2 linked regions of the Lonchura striata genome follow. The protein of the gene in region 1 binds, or shares a complex with, the protein of each later gene. Links are inferred from orthologs where the notes say so. Each region holds a gene or a part of one and is shown on either strand. Other genes may lie near its edges.

Region 1 (8,017 bases):
TTGTGCAGAAGTATATTGTTTTGGCTTTGTTAATAGTGAAAAATTTGTTTGAAGTTCTTTATCTTCCTCTTTTGCAACAGGAATTGAAAATGGGGGGTTGGGCAATTGAGGTGATTTTTGCAGTATCATCTAACCCTGTTTTAAGACAGCAATTTAATGCTACAGGAACCCAGATAGGGCCCCTCTACAAATACCTCTTCACACTTTTAGGGCAATTTTTTAATGGCAGAATAAAGGGCTGAACTCCAGGAGATTGTCCTTCTTATTTTCTTCCTTTTTACTGAAGCCCTTACAAAGCAAGGAATCAGAAAAGTGCTCATTTTAGCAAAGTGTGTGATTTACCTCCAGTTCTGTATAATTAGCACAGCCAATAGAAGCTCACAGATAATCCTACTTAAGCAGTTGATTAGTACTTGATTTTTCAGGTGGATGAGCTAAACAGGTTTCTTTAGTACCAAAGGATATCTATAAAGTGAGGTGCTCCCCTTTGTACATGATGTGACATACAGGCATGCAAGGCAAAGCTGGTCTTCCCAGGAGTGCTCTTAGATTTGGCACTTCCAAAACACCATCCCTGTCATTTCTGTGTGTTGTTCTCTTTACAGAAAGTAATGGGGGGGGAGGCAATCAAAAGTGAAATAAAGAATTGAAGGATTAAAAATCTTGCCCCAATTACACTACTTTAATTAAAACATGATATCTATCAAAGTAATTTTGTTGTTTCCAGACAGCTACAAGCATGTTGGTTTCAAAAGGATCACTTTCATTGCTAGAAGCATAACATCAAACTTCTGATTAACAACCATTTGTACAGAACATAAAAAAATAATCCAGAAACAAGCAAAACTTACCCAACAGCAGGATTCACAGTTCTAATATAATCATAGCATCTTCCAATGAAAATACTTTCCAGGTTTTGAGTAGTACCTTCACCTTTCCATTTCTTTCCCTGCACTCCTGAGAAGCTGTTCATACAGAGAACAGAGACAAAGAAAAGAGGATAAAAAAGGCTCACCATCATGAATTCCTGACAATCCAAATTCTTAAAAGGAAAAAACCCCAAAGAAATAAAAAAGTAGAGTTCAATGATACAATTTAAATGGAAACCTGCAGTCTGAACGTTTAATATTTTTAGTACTAGCTACAACTCAGTACACAAGACAAAAGCGGGAAAAAAAACCTTGCTGGAAACTATAACCTATTTCCTGGAACGATTGCAGCACAGAGATACATCACTTCCTTGTGTCTAAACTATTCCTCACTTCAGAAAAAACGAAAAAGTTTGAAGGCCACCTGGTGATAACTGAAGAGAATTGCAGTATATCTCTGCAAAGGGAAGAAAAAAAACCCCTTACCACTTCAATACTTAGGATGCCTTTGGTTCGCTTAATACTCGTTGCTGTGCTACACATTTTGGTGTGATGATATGTGCACCATGTCTTTGTGAAAAAAACCTGCCTTGCAGTCATGAATCAATCATAACGAGAAACATAAGGATTACAACTTATATCTTGTGCACTGAACAAATGTCTTCAGCTTCTGCTGTCACTCTTCTCCAGGTTCTTTCTCCTAAGTACTCTGTTAGAACAACAAAAGGCACCAATCAGTCTAATCTTCAGAATATTCACTGGTACACACTGCTGTAAATACAGCCACATTGGGTTTTTTACCTTAAAAGAATAAATTCAACCTCCAAGTATTTTGTATTCAACCTCCAAGTATTTTGTATTCAAGCTCCAAGTATTTTTGCACTCACATTTCTCAGGAGCATGCTGGTTCTTTTCTTTCTTTCTTTCTTTCTTTCTTTCTTTCTTTCTTTCTTTCTTGTGTACTTATTTCTGTAGTGTCCCACTTCTGTTTATGCACTGGTACTCAGCTGGTGGATTTTGCTGAGGGAAAAATCTTGCTAATCATTGAGTAAATTCCTGATGATGGATTTCTACTATAAATCTGACAAAAAATAGCCAATTGGTTGCTACCTGTTGCTTCTCTAATGTTTTTTCTTCCTATTTCTCTTCCTAACCTCTCTATGTCCATGCTGATAGGGCATCAGAACAATAATCAAATGGTTTCAAGCCAATATTTTGGATTCAGGATTAGAGAGTGCAATAGTCCATGGAAGTCACTGAACATTTTATTTTATTATTAACTTAGCTGCAACCAAATTTTGCTCAGTAATTTCAGGGTCTAACAGAAGCCAGAATGTGATGTGAATCTTAAATGTGCAGAAATTGTCACTGATTTTTGCATCAAGGCTAGAACTTTTGCTTGAAATATACAGTATAAGTTAAGAAGTCATACAGATAGACACTGAACGTTTCTCCAAGTACACACTAGGTTAGGACACAGCACCTTGGGGAAGAAGATGTGGGCTCCCTAACAAATAGACAACCTGTCATAACATCCCAGAGGAACTGGATCCAAGAGTTGTTGGGAACCCCATTTCAACTCCTATCAAGCTTCCTTTCCTCACTGGTAACTTTTAGAAATACAACATCAGGCCAGAGGGCCTCTGATCCCACTCAGCACAGCCATTTTTAATTAGTGTTCTAGTTTTGTTCTAAATACTTCACATGAGGGCTAGATTAACAACCTGCAGGGTTCCAGTGGTTTGATAACCTTGAGAGTAAAACCTTAGCTCTGAACTTATCTTCTTCTAGCTCCCAGTCACTGAATCTCATGATATCTTTTGCTGTTACATTAATGAAGAATCCATCATCAGAACCATCCTTCCATGCAAATTCTTGTAAAAAATTACCAAGTCTACCCTTAAACTAGTCCATGAAAATTCAGTATTTTAATCCCTTTATCAGGTATTTTTTCTTGTAGTATTGCAATTCACTGCCACAAACTGGCTGCCCATCTTGCCTCCTGAGGTCTAGCAATTCATGGTGGATGCAGATCACTGTTCCTCGCTCTCTGTCCCTCTCTCCTAGAAGATGCTATTGCCCATGAAGAAACGTCAGAAAATTGGCAGCATATCTGCTCTGGAGATACTGTAGTTCACAGACTCAATATTAATCCAAACAACCATGAAATTCAACATATGTTTACATTCTGAACCCCAGAAGATGAGGAGCCAACATGTTCTTTCCTGTTATTTCTATCACAGGGGAGTGGTAAGTTCCAGCAGTAGGAAGGTGTAACAGACAGTAACATTAATCCTCTGTTACTACTCACACATGAATTTCTGGCAGAATAACCTCAATTCTGCATGACCACATGCTTTAGGCCTGGTAATAGAACCTCATATTCACAAGCTCCTCTGTAAGCAATGAACTTCAAACTTTGTTTCTTAAGGGTTTGTGTCTTCAGTGTGTTAAGTCTACCTACAGCAGTAACACAAGATCTCGCCTGCTCCCTTGTGTGCCAGGGCACACTCTCTATGAAAGACATGCTCAAGCTCAAACCCAGAGCTCTGCTCACTTGCCAAGCTGTAAACACAGCTGTGTGCTGGCTAGCCAGCTGCATAACACCTGTGCTTTGCCTTCCTTTCTTCCCTCCTGGGAACCTGCTTTTTTTTTTTCCCAACCCAAAGTTGTAAGAATTTAACCTTCCAAGTTTCGTGCATATTTGCAAATATGGCAAAGTAGGTCAGTGTGTTCAAAAGTCCTTCGAGGAGGAAAGGATTCATGGAAAAGGAAACGCCCAGTACCGCAATTGCTTGGGACTAATTTCCTTAGATAAAGAGATAAAGAGATTATTGTGCACAGTGTCAGCTAAGTAACACACAATGTGAGCTCTTCTGCTTAGTTCACTACTTACTTCTTTTACCAGCATTTTATTCCCAACATTAGTATGTTGAGAAATACCGGACTAAAAACTCACATGACTTTCCTGAAAATATTTCAACATGTTTACAATGAATTGCTTACACCTATGACCTCGCTAGCTCAAATACGTTTAATATCTGCAACATAGACTTTGTTCAGTTTTCAGTCAGAAAGGCCTGCTGCATCTATTGTATGTTTGACAAAGAATTTTGGTGACATTTACTGAACATTGCAATGCTGGTCAACAGTTTTACAACACTACATGCTGGTTGACAGTTACAGATTTTGTCAAATGGATGTGCAATCTCAACTTGGCCCAGTGTTCCTGCTTACTTTGAAATGTTGCACAAGCAGATCAGTATGATAGGCAGGTGTTTTTGGTTCATTTGCCTTGGAAGTTAAACAAACACACTTAACTTTACTTGTTTGGCACAAATGCTGCAAAAGGTTGGGTGCAGATTCCGTGCTGCAGCAGATACAAATAACTTGCCTAGGACCTTCTTGATGAGGTCACACTGCAAATCCTGTGTCCAGCTCTGTGCCCCCCAGTTCAGGAAGGACACTGAGGTGCTTGAGCATGTCCAGAGAAGGGCAGCAAAGCACAAGTCCTGTGAGGAGCAGCTGAGGGAGCTGCAGGTGTTTAGCCTGGAGACCAAGGGGGACCTCAATGCTCTCTGCAAACACCTGAGAGGAGTTTGTAGCCAGGTAGGGGTCGGTCGATTCTCGCAGGCAAATAGCAATAGGACAAGACACAGTCTGAAACTGCTCCAGGGGATGTTCTAGGTTGGACATGAGGAAGAATTTCTTCACAGGAAGGATGATTAGACATCGGAATGGGTTGCCGTGGGAGGTGACGGAGTCACCATTCCCGGAGGCGTCTTTAAGGAAAGACGACGTGGCACTCGGTGCCGTGGTCTAGCAGACAAGGTGCTCGGTCAGGGGCTGGAGCCCATGACCCCAGAGGTCTTTTCCAACCCGACTGATTCTGTAAGTGCTTTTTACATCCACAAGCTGCCACCCTGGCGCTGCCAAGGCATCGGGTGTGAAGTCACACAGCGCTGCAGCTCGCCGGGACGGGCCCAGCGCGGTGCCCCCGGGCGGGAGCGCATTCCGCAGCGGGGCCCGGGCGGGCGGGCCCGGCGCCGCCGCGCCCCGCGGCAAGGGGCGGGGCCAGCCGCGCACGCGCGGGGCGGTGGCCGCGGTCACGCGGGGCGGGCGCACGCGCGGTGCGGACGCTCGCGCCGCCGTTCGCGCCGCCGTTCGCGGCGCGGCTCCATGGGGAGAACATGGCTCCCTTCCCCGAGGAGGTGGACGTGTTCTCCGCCCCGCACTGGCGCATGAAGCAGCTCGTGGGACTCTACTGCGACAAGGTAGCGGGCCCCGCGCCGCTGCCCCGGGGCGGGAGGGAGGGTTTGGGGAGTGCGTAGCTGTCAGCGCCCTGGCCCCGCCGGTAACTTCTGCCCTGCGCTGCCGAGGGGTTCCTGAGCGCCTCACGGGCTGCCGGTGCCGCTCCGCGGCCGCGCAGGGCTGAGGCTGCCCTGGCTGCCGTGCCGGGCCGGCCGGCAGGAGCCGTGTCCCGCTCGGAGGGGCGGTGGTGCCGCTCAGGGAACGCGCCCCCGCCCGGGCAGCCCGGCAGAGCCCCCCGGGCAGCCCGGCAGAGCCCCCCGGGCCCGGCAGAGCCCCCCGGGCAGCCCGGCAGAGCCCCCCGGGCCCGGCAGAGCCCCCCGGGCCCGGCAGAGCCCCCCGGGCCCGGCAGAGCCCCCCGGGCAGCCCGGCAGAGCCCCCCGGGCCCGGCAGAGCCCCCCGGGCAGCCCGGCAGAGCCCCCCGGGCAGCCCGGCAGAGCCCCCCGGGCCCGGCAGAGCCCCCCGGGCAGCCCGGCAGAGCCCCCCGGGCAGCCCGGCAGAGCCCCCCGGGCAGCCCGGCAGAGCCCCCCGGGCCCGGCAGAGCCCCCCGGGCAGCCCGGCAGAGCCCCCCGGGCCCGGCAGAGCCCCCCGGGCAGCCCGGCAGAGCCCCCCGGGCAGCCCGGCAGAGCCCCCCGGGCAGCCCGGCAGAGCCCCCCGGGCCCGGCAGAGCCCCCCGGGCCCGGCAGAGCCCCCCGGGCCCGGCAGAGCCCCCCGGGCAGCCCGGCAGAGCCCCCCGGGCAGCCCGGCAGAGCCCCCCGGGCCCGGCAGAGCCCCCCGGGCCCGGCAGAGCCCCCCGGGCCCGGCAGAGCCCCCCGGCCCGGCGCTCCCGCCCGGGCAGCGCGGCCCGGCAGCGTTTGCCAGGCAGGCAGGGCGCGGGACTGTGCTTGCGGGTCTGTGCGCAGCCTTCTGCTGGTGAGTGGCGTAAAGGTACCCTAGGTACGTTCTTTTATTTTAAATATATGTAATTTTGGTCATGGACAAAAGTAATTTTTATTCTTGCATCACGGTAGTTAAATAATCAAGGCTGATGTGTCACCTGAAAGACAAACTTCCCTGTAGCAGCTTTGAGTGTTGTAGGAGGGTTTTGGGCGAATACTTCACAGCCAGCACTCCTACTGCAAGAAGTTTTGCCTCCCATCTCCGGGCATAAATGGCTGTTTGGAGAAGCCAGATTGGCTACAGACATTTAAAAGAGCGGTGCAGTTGCATGAGAGGCAGTTACCATAGTTTACTGCTGCCAGCAGCATGGGGGAGTTCATGCTTCCCTGTTTCCACATGGCACCTTGCACTGCTCTGGGATTCACCAGATCCTTTGGTGTGCCTCTTCCATTTGATAATAGGTTAAAGAAAACCTAGAGCTGTTTTTTGCAGGATTTGCTAACTGGACATAGAGTCTAGGAGGAGCAGAAGCGATGTCCTTATATAGTTTCCTTCACTTTGCTTTTTATTTGAGAGTATATTTGCAATCAACTGAATCTGCGGCAGCAGAAAAAATTGTGGTATCATAACAGAGTGGATTTTATTTGAATGGAAACAAACACCCCCACTGACTTCTGGTAGCTGTTTCAGTGTGTTGTTGACAGTAGCTGAACAGGTTTCATTTAAACATCCAGATCTTGTAGTCACTTAGGTTTTGTTCCTAGAGAGGCATTTTTATCACTTTTATTGAGCCTCCCACAAAGTTTTGACCCAAGTTTACCATGCCTACTAAAACTTCCTGGGGAGCAATTACTGGTTTTCCTGAATATTGAAAAATTTGATAAAACTATTTGTAATGTTCATAACCTTTCATTTTATAAAAGTTTTTATACAGGAATTTTCTTGCTCCCTTTTTCTTTTGAATAAGAGCAAGCCTGAATGAATGTCACTTTTTTTGAAAAGTGTTCAGTTTTACGTCCTTTAACCCTGTTGCAGAAGTTGAGGTGTGTGCCTTGACTGTGAGTTTTTATAATGCCAGCTTTGCACCAGAAAAACTTCCAGTTTTTGAATTTCCTTCTTGTGTGATTGTGATGCTGCAATTAGGTAAGTCTGTAGTTCTGCTTACATGGCAGGTGTAATCTCTAAAGCCATGCTCTGGATAAGTTTAGTTTGACCTTGAGGGTTCTTTAATGTTGTGAATTACATATTATCTGTGTTCATTGGGTTCTCTGCACACTGTCATATAGTTGCTGCTTGTGTCTGAATGAAGTAAATTCCACAGAATATTAATAAGGGTGACATGGGGTCATCCATCTTTGCTTCTCAGGAGAACAATTACATTGTTTCCAATGGATAAAGTACATAGGAACTTAAATAATCCTTTAGGACAGAGATACACAGTTTATTTTGTTCTTCCAGGACTTCATGTGAGACAGAACAGTTAAATTGGAATTTAAGCTGTTTAGTGCTTTAGCTACGCTTTTAGCTGTTGCTAGTGAAGATCTCCCTGTCCCTTGCTGCATTCTTAAATGGCATTTTTACCTGTGTTGCATACACTGCCCTGGACTTGGATAATATGAGTAATTAGAATTATGTTTAATAAGGAGATCCACACTGTTGCCAAATCTGTCTCCTACTCTAGTGAGAAGAAAATTCGTTAAGTGTTGTGAGGATGTCCCCCCTGTAGGTAGTGGAGTGCTACAGCAGACAGTCTGTATAACTGAAATGCTTGTCCTAATGCCTTACGTCATCTTTGCTACAAATAGAGCAGATTCTGTTTTCCCATCTCTAGTGAACCGTTCTTAGTTTGCAGAAAGATCTTGTGCCGATTTGCAATTGTGGCTGTGTCCTCCATCTTAGTTATGTTCTCTGGCTTCAGCAAACAGATTCATTCTGCTTCATCACGTGGGTCACGCTTGCTG
Region 2 (7,885 bases), on another chromosome or scaffold:
TCAGCCAGGGTCCAGGGGTGAGGGAAATTAGTTTGCTCAGGCACCCCTCCTATTTTAGGGTATAAGTTGAAGGTCTCTTGTTGAGAAGGATGGATAAATATAATTATTCATAAATAATACAGCCAGGATGAGAACAGTCCTCCCTGCTGGCTGGACAATGCCCTTACCTACAGGTAAGTCCAAAAATCAAGTGGACTGTTCCATCTCACCCCCCAAAATGTATGGTTGACCTCGCACCTGTAACCCTCCCCTAAAACATCAAGTGCCTGTAAACCCATTGGCCCAAGTCTTTTCCAGCCAAACTTGAAGCCCCCTGATAAGGGGTCTCCGGGGGGCCAGACGCTCTCTTGGAACTTCCCCTCCTCTTAGGACCTCCACCCTCTCCTAGAGCATCCTCTTGTCTCTCCCCCATCCCCTCAAGCCTTGACACGTGCTGCGTCTGGCAGCCCCAAGCAAGACCTTTCTGCATCCCTAATAAACCTGATATCCTAAGAGCAGCCTTCAGAGATCTCTTGTCTCCATTCATCTAAACCGTCCTGGAGCACAGCGCTCCCTACAGTCTCTCCTTGTGGACCTGGGCTTCCCACCTCCAGTAAAAGTGTGTTTGACATTATTTAGGCAGAATGTTTTCTGCTCCCACAGATTTTTCTCCTAGTATGCCTCATAGGTCTATGGAACTCTTACCCAGTGCTGACTTGAGGACCATTTTCTCAGACAGAGGATACCATGTTCCTAGCTCACAGTGTTGACAATTTGTAGGAAGGAGGGGTATGGTTTTGAGTGGTCATCAGCTTCAAGAGTTGGGGATTATCTTGCTAAAAGTCTCAAACAGTTCACTATATTAAGAAGTCCTGAGTACACCTCCAACACCTCTCTGTCCTTTGGGTCACAATGACTGAGCTCAAAGCACAACTTGCTGCAAGCCACATCCCACATCTCCAGAAAACAAAGAGGCTTGTCCTGCTGTGGATGTTTCTGTGGATGACTGAGGATTGTCAGATGTGGATGAGCTGTCATCATATTAGATACAGTTAATAGCAACCAGCAGTTAAAAGGAGTTTCACCACCATCCATACTTATGCACTCGGGAAGTGCATTGCATAGTGCTGAAGGGTGTTTCTTAATGATTGTTCTTACCAACTGTCAGTAAATCCCCTAAATTGCTTTCTTGTGGATGTATGCAGTGTGTTCCCTGCTGCCATCCCTCTCTGAAGGAATGAAGCTCTTGGCCCTCTGCAGCTGGGATGCACCCAGCAGTGATGCCCAGCATTCCACCCCCACTACAAACTGCACCCCCCCACACCTTCTTTCCTGCAGGTGTGAGAAATGCCCCTACTGGTACTTGCCAAATGAAGTTTTCTCCTGCAGTGAGTGAGGAAAGAAAGCCATTTGGCTCTCCAGAACCCAAGCACATGGCAGGTGACCACTGCCTTCCTGAGAAGGAAAACATTTGTTCCCAGAGGCCAGCAGTGCCTGAGCTTGCAAAAAATCCTGAGGTAAGAAAGCTGAACTGTGCCTCCCATCTCCCTTTCCAGCAGCGTTGAGGAAAGAAGGCAACAGACGCCATCCATTTAAAACAAGCGTGTCAGTAACAACCACAGCCTGAACCAAACCAGATGTGATCTCTAGGGCTGTTAAGCCTGATACTGCACAGACTGCTCTAAGAACTGGGTAGTGTAGCTTGAGATTCCCCAGTTGCTTGTTGCACTTCCTGAAATGAAGACCTCAGGCTCACAACTCAGAGTTCAATTAATATGCCATCAGCACAAAAGAGTCCTTCTTCTTCCTGACATCTCTGGGAAAAGACTTTGCACTCATTTAGACTCTGTTAACTAACTAGAAAAGGCTTTTTTTCAAGCTCCCTAATGATACAGGAGGCTCAACAGTGCTGCAACCTGAAAATAGGTGCCTGGCTTCAGATTAGCCAAAGTTCAGCATCCTATTCCTCTGTTAGATGATTGGAAGTAAGCATGTTTACTGAATTTCGCTCTTGGTACTAATGAACTCCTCACAGCAAGTCTGTTCTCCCAAACACAGTTTCTGCAGGATACTGTACACAAGCACTTCTCTCACATGTAAAAATCATCTTGAACACCTTTCCTCCACTTGGAGAAGAAAATGTACTGAGCTCAGAAATAAGTTTTGAAAATTTGAGCCTCTTCATATACCCAACTTTAGAACAGCTCATGTGCTATCTCTAGATATTCATGAGACAGCATTATCATCTGATTTACTAAGAGTTTGCTGAATGCTGGGAGGGACTTGTAGAAGGGTGTTAGAGTTGTGTACTTCTGTTTGAATGGCAGCTCTTGTAAGAAGAGATTGAAACTGATTTTTTTATTTTCTGAGTGCCAGCACTTTAGATGAAAAATTATGACAGCAACTTCAATTGCCAGCAGTGAATCAATTAATAAACACCAGTCTGAGATAACAAATATTCAGGGTATGAGAAATTTAGTGGAGCCTTAGCATGAGTAAGGAACTTGACTTTTAGTGTCTTTCATGACAGGGGCTCACACAGCACACACTTGTTGCCATACCCTTGTGTCAAGAAATGCTTTTTCCTTTGGCAGTTATCAATCTACTTACTTTGACATAAGGGACAAAAAAGCAAAGCTTACATTCATATTCTTGAAGATGACATGGTAGCACTGAGGATACTGTATTTTAAAAAATTAATTTACAGAAGCAAAGATTGTATCTTAGACCATGTGGTGTCAAAACTAAATATTCAGTCATGTTCTTACTGAAGTATCCAATCTGCCATGTTCTTAGTTTACATCTCACCTAATTCCTGTGGCTTTGCTGCTGTGGCACAAGACACAGGAGAATGCGACCACTTGATTTTCTTACAAATTGTGCAATCTGAATTTTACAAACCTTTGTTTCAGTTTGTTACTGAAATGTGACAATGTCAAAATATCTTTGTGATCTTTTTAATCAGCTGCCCCAACTTTGACTATGCTTAGATATTGTGTCTTACCCACTCTGTACCTTCACCTGTGGATTTTAGACTCGATGGACTGACCTAAATTTCTTAAATAAATATTCTAAAGAGGTTTCTCAAATTTTCTTTCTAAATCTCATGTATTCATTCAATTGGAAGAAAATGAGGTTGCTGTGTTATTTTTTCCATCTATAGGTAGTTATGTACAGTTTTACTCCTTTCCTCTAAAGATGTCTCACTGCCTCACAAGAGCAGTGTAAGATTTAGTGCATCTAAGCTTCAAGTACAGCAGTCATATGGAAGCCAGGATTAGAAGCAGTTTGATTCAAAGGGCTGTACTTCAAACTCCTGCATCAACCTGCTTCTCCTGCAGAGGAATGGATGCTGTGGATGTTGTTTGGTTGTCACTGCTATTGCCTTTCTTCTGTCTTCATAGGGAAAACAGAGGAAAACAAAAGAAGGGCACAACTACAAAAGCTGTGTCTTGCACTACACTGGGTTCCCTCCAGCTTGCTGTGGTCTCTTTTGTGTGACAGTGCTGTGGAACACAGACCTGAGAGCAATATTTAGCTCAGCTTTTTCCACAGCAAAACTGCTTTCTCTGTTTAACAGCTGAAATATGGTGAACAGCAATATTGAAATTCTTTCTAATGGAGTGACTGCCTTTCACACAAGTAGCATAACATAATTCCCTCTTACTCACATTCTCTTCTTCACTAAGACTCTGCTTAGCCTGCTTCTGTCAGCTCTAATTACAAACCAGCGATAAACCATCCTCGCTTTCTTCTGGATAAGTTCTCCCTTGAATTTGACTTATTTCAGGATGTCAGATGCCAGTTGGGAAATGGAAAATACATTCTGGAAACTTCAAAACCTTCGTTCCTAGACAGTTACACATTTCCTTAAGGGACTTAATTCTAGAAGAATCACACAAAAAATAGTAAGCAGAACAGTGCAGTAGCTCAGGTGGTTATAAGCAAAAAGAAAGTTTTCAGTATAAAATGAAAGCCAAACATTGTGTTAAAACCAAATACATATGCAATTTGCTTTCCAAGAATCTGTCTGGTATGTAGGAAGGACACAAACCTCTAAATATTTAGGGTTAAAGGATTTCACATGTGAGCAAGAAATACTCCATGCTGCCTAAGATTCCTTCCTCTGGATGTGCCTGACACACAGAAGTCAGCCTTCAGCCAGCAAAGGGAGATAACCAGCAGCCGTTTATTCACTGGCATCCTGAGGACTGAGCCCGGCGAGCTGGGGTGTCTTTGGCAAAGGAGAACAACTGGTGAGTGATGGTTCGGCACATCCCTGGACTTGATGATCTCAGAAGTCTCTTCCAACCTCGTTATTCTGTGATTCTGTGTTCCGGGCGTTGCTGCTGGGCCCGCAGGCTCCGCAGGGCTCCGCTGGGCGCTGCCCCGCCCCGAGTGCGAGCTGCGAGCTGCGGGGCCAGGCTGGCAGGGAGGAGGCGCTGCGGGAGCTCGCAACGCGTTCCGCTACCTGAAAGGGTCCTACAGGGAAGGTGGGCAGGAACTATGGTGATAGGACAAGGGGGAATGGGTACAAATTCAAAAGGGGAAATTTAGATGAGATGTTAGGAAGACATTCTTTACTGTGAGGGTGGAGAGGCGCTGGAACACGCTTTCCAGGGACACTGTGTATGCATCGTCCCTGGAAGCGTTCAACGTCAGGTCGGATGGAGCTTAAAATGGGAGCGTATGATCCTTCGGGCGCAACCGCGCCCCTCGGCCTCGCGCCGAGCGGCGGCCGCAGCGCCGCGGGGCCGCGCCCGGGGCTGGGTCCGGCCGGGCCCGGGAGCCCCCGAGCCCCGCCCGCCCCGGCCCCGCGCGGCCACGCCCCCTCACTGTCCCGCCCCCGGCGCGTCCCGGCCGGCAGCTCCGCCCGCGCGCTCGTCACTGTTATCGCGAGAGCAGCGGCTGCCCGCTCCCGGCTACTTCCGCCCTCTCCGCCAAGCCTCGCGCGATCTCGTGCCCTTTCCTCCTGAGCAGGGCGCACAGTCTCGCGAGAGCGCGGCGTGCTGCGGCCGCGGGGTGGGGCGCCGGGCGCAGTCTCGCGAGAGCTGCCGGCCCGCCGGCGCCCCCCGGCCCGCTCCCTCGCGCTGACATGGTCGCCGGCGATGGACCCTCCCAGAGCAGGTCGGTCACCGCGGGGACGGCCCACGCCCCCGCCCGCCGCGACACCGCGGCCCGGGACATCGCCTCGCCGCCGAACGGCGCCGTACCGGGCCACGGGAGTCCCTGCGGGGGACAGCGGGCCCGTCCCCGCCCCGCTGTCTGCTCTCTCCCGGGGGTTATTTACTCCGAGCACCTAATGGCTGCTACGAGCTTTATTTTCGTGTCTTGTTCCCTTGACGTTGGCTTGGCAGTCAATGCTTTGTGCTTCCTGCTGTATTAAAACCCGTGTCTCTTATCTGCGCTGGTGAGGTGTCTGATCCTGTGTGTAGATGGCAAACTGAGACAACAAAGGTCAGGTGTGTTCAGGCTGTGCTGGCGACCTGCACTGACCTGCATGTACCTACTATCAGTGCTGCTTTTAAAATTCACCTTAGTCACACATCTACCTCACGAGGTATCTCAATCCGTTTAGAAACCTTTCCGTGTTGCTTCTAATTACAGTCTAGAGAAACGTTATTTCTGGCAGAATGAGAAGTAAAATCTCTTTTTGTGAATCCTCAGTCAGCGCTGAAACCACCCGTTGTTTTGTGGCTGTAACTCTGGTTGTTTCGTCCCGCAGGAAGCCCTTACCAGCCCGCCATTGAAGCTTTGCAAAGCCACCCAGAGAAAAAGTTTTACAATGTGTCGAAGCTCGGAGGCGCCAAGTACGGTACGATGCTCTCCGGGGTAATCGGGGTGGTACCAGCCGCAAGCTGCACCACTGGTGCCCTGCGGTGGCAGGAGATGCAGTCGGGAATTTCTAATGGGTGTGTTTGGAAGCTGATGATATCCCGATTTCTTAGTGTTTTAAGGAGTTTGCAGGGGTAATACTTGTAGATCTTATTTACTAAGGGAGAAAGTGCAGGTCTTTCTGCAGTTTTCAACAGTATTCCAAATCAGAAGAATTACTCACTTTGGAAAAAAAAAAATTAAGTGACAAAGAACTCTAATGCTTCCAAAATAAATGCAGCTTTTTCTGTAGTTCTGTATAGCTTCATGGTGTTCTAGTTTCTCCTCCCCAGCAGCCTCACATAGTGGGTGACTGCCAGAACATGGCTCCTGCTGCAGGGTGAGGTTTAGTGGTGCTCACGCTGTTGCTTAATCTCAGCTTGTCATTAGTATGCAATGGCTGTCTGTGCCAGTGAGACCTTCATCGGGTCTCTGTGTCCAAGTGCTTTTCACAGTGTTGCACGTGTGGTGGGAGGGGAGTCCACACCGGGAGGGAGCTTTGCTCGCTGCCAGCTGGAACGGCTTTAGTCTTGCAGGTAATCAAAGCATGCTGGCATTATTCTCTCCCTTTGTCTTCATGTTAAACTGAACTACTTATATGGGCTACTTCGTAAAGGCACTTGGGCTATTTTTTTTTTCCAGTTTTGCAAGGTCTGAATCTTCTATATTCACAGAATTTGTGCTATGCTTCTTGAATTAAAAAAAAAAAAATCATTGGATATTTCACTTTAAACCCATATTTGAACACAATTATTAATTCCATGTTGTTTAAAGAGAATGGGGGGGGGTACAGCTGTGTGCTCTTGCAATTTTTCCCTGCTTGTAGTAAAAAAGTCAGTCTTTCAAATAAGCACACATGGAGGAAACAGTGCTTGGTCCAGGAAGAAGCAGTGCTGTGCTAGTAACAAAACCAGGCAGTTCTACAGCAGTTTTGTGGAAAGCCTCATGACAGGAGTGGAACTAAAACAATATACAACTTTCTGCTGCTTGCAGTAGCAATGGGTATTCCTGAACATACTGTCAGGAATCTAAACAGACTGTGCTAACAGGGTCCTTGTCTTCCAATAGAAACTTCTGTGCAGAAGCTGGAAGCCTCATGTTAGCTTCAAGGTAGCAAAATACTAAATAACATCTAGACATGGGACAGCACTGGTAACAAATCGAGCATCTGGAATTGCTCACTGCATTTGTTGCTAGAACAGTTTGAGTTTTACCTGTCTGGCTGTAATTTGACATTAATTGCCGGTTTATATTAATCAGATTACTAATGTAAATGTTAATTGGTTTAGTTACCAGTTTTCTAGTGTTTTAAGACTTACGGAGAAAATGAGAAGAGCTCAAAAGGATTTAGGGCAGAGAGGACATGTGGAGATTTAGACCAGGCTCTTGCTGGGGCTGGAGCTCATGTGGGGAATCTTCCATGATTAAGCTGTGCCAGTCTGGGAGGACAGAGATTCCACTGCCTCCATGGTACTGTGCCTGTCCGTGCTGCTTTTCCCTCGTGCCCAGTGCCCGTGTCCCTTCCTGCGCTGCTGCGAAGTCCCGCCTCCCCCTGGCTGCGGGCCCGGGAGGCCCGGTCAGATCTGCCGTCCCCGGGGGCTCGCCAGCCAGCGCTGCCTGCAGCTCCTGTGTCCGGCAGTCCCGGCGGCTCCCAAGGGCCCTGTGCCGGGTGTCATCTCATGGCTGGAGCTGTCCTGTACCCTGGAAGCCCCAGACTGCTCTGTGTTGCACATAGGACCTGCTGGTGCAGTGCGATTTTTTAACCCACAAGAAAGCAAACAAGTTCTTCTCTGGGAATCTGGCTTTTAAATCAAGAGAGTGGGGGCATGAAGGTTCATGAGACCTTTTGGATGACATCTTTATACTCAAATTTAATCAAATCTTAAACTCAAAATAGCGACTTGTCTAATTAGACAATAGTGGATATTATCTCACAAAGACACAGTGAAAACAGAGTCAGCAAGTTCTATAGTAGTTTGTGAACAATCAATTAAATTAGGCTGAGACCACTAAATTTATTTTTTTTTTATTA

What was found.
Region 2: the proteins of FBXL5 (region 1) and IREB2 are in contact, whole or in part, in a cryo-EM structure (PDB 6VCD), measured with the Homo sapiens proteins. The link is inferred for Lonchura striata from reciprocal best matches to the Homo sapiens genes FBXL5 and IREB2. Residues at the interface, in NP_036293.1 of Homo sapiens: Asp656, Glu657, Tyr661, Cys662, Asp663, Asn664, Ile665, His669, Ala670, Asp671, Thr672, Ala673, Ser674, Gly675, Cys676, Gln677, Asn678, Leu679, Gln680, Cys687, Arg688, Ser689, Gly690, Glu691; in NP_004127.2 of Homo sapiens: Asp89, Phe90, Ser129, Asn217, Val220, Glu221, Arg224, Arg228, Ala758, Gly759, Ser760, Arg763, Asn764, Thr777, Pro778, Arg779, Asn782, Ser783, Tyr784, Gly785, Ala786, Arg788.

What each region holds. Positions count from the first base shown.
Region 1 is NC_134606.1:15,166,657-15,174,673, reverse strand, and holds the start of FBXL5 (F-box/LRR-repeat protein 5), read left to right. Parts: upstream 1-4,980; 5' UTR 4,981-5,059; coding exon 5,060-5,143; intron 5,144-8,017. Other genes in the region: BST1 (ADP-ribosyl cyclase/cyclic ADP-ribose hydrolase 2), read right to left, coding at 852-1,021.
Region 2 is NC_134613.1:4,460,734-4,468,618, forward strand, and holds the start of IREB2 (iron-responsive element-binding protein 2), read left to right. Parts: upstream 1-4,878; 5' UTR 4,879-5,087; coding exon 5,088-5,106; intron 5,107-5,704; coding exon 5,705-5,794; intron 5,795-7,885. UniProt on the Homo sapiens protein: RNA-binding protein that binds to iron-responsive elements (IRES), which are stem-loop structures found in the 5'-UTR of ferritin, and delta aminolevulinic acid synthase mRNAs, and in the 3'-UTR of transferrin receptor mRNA.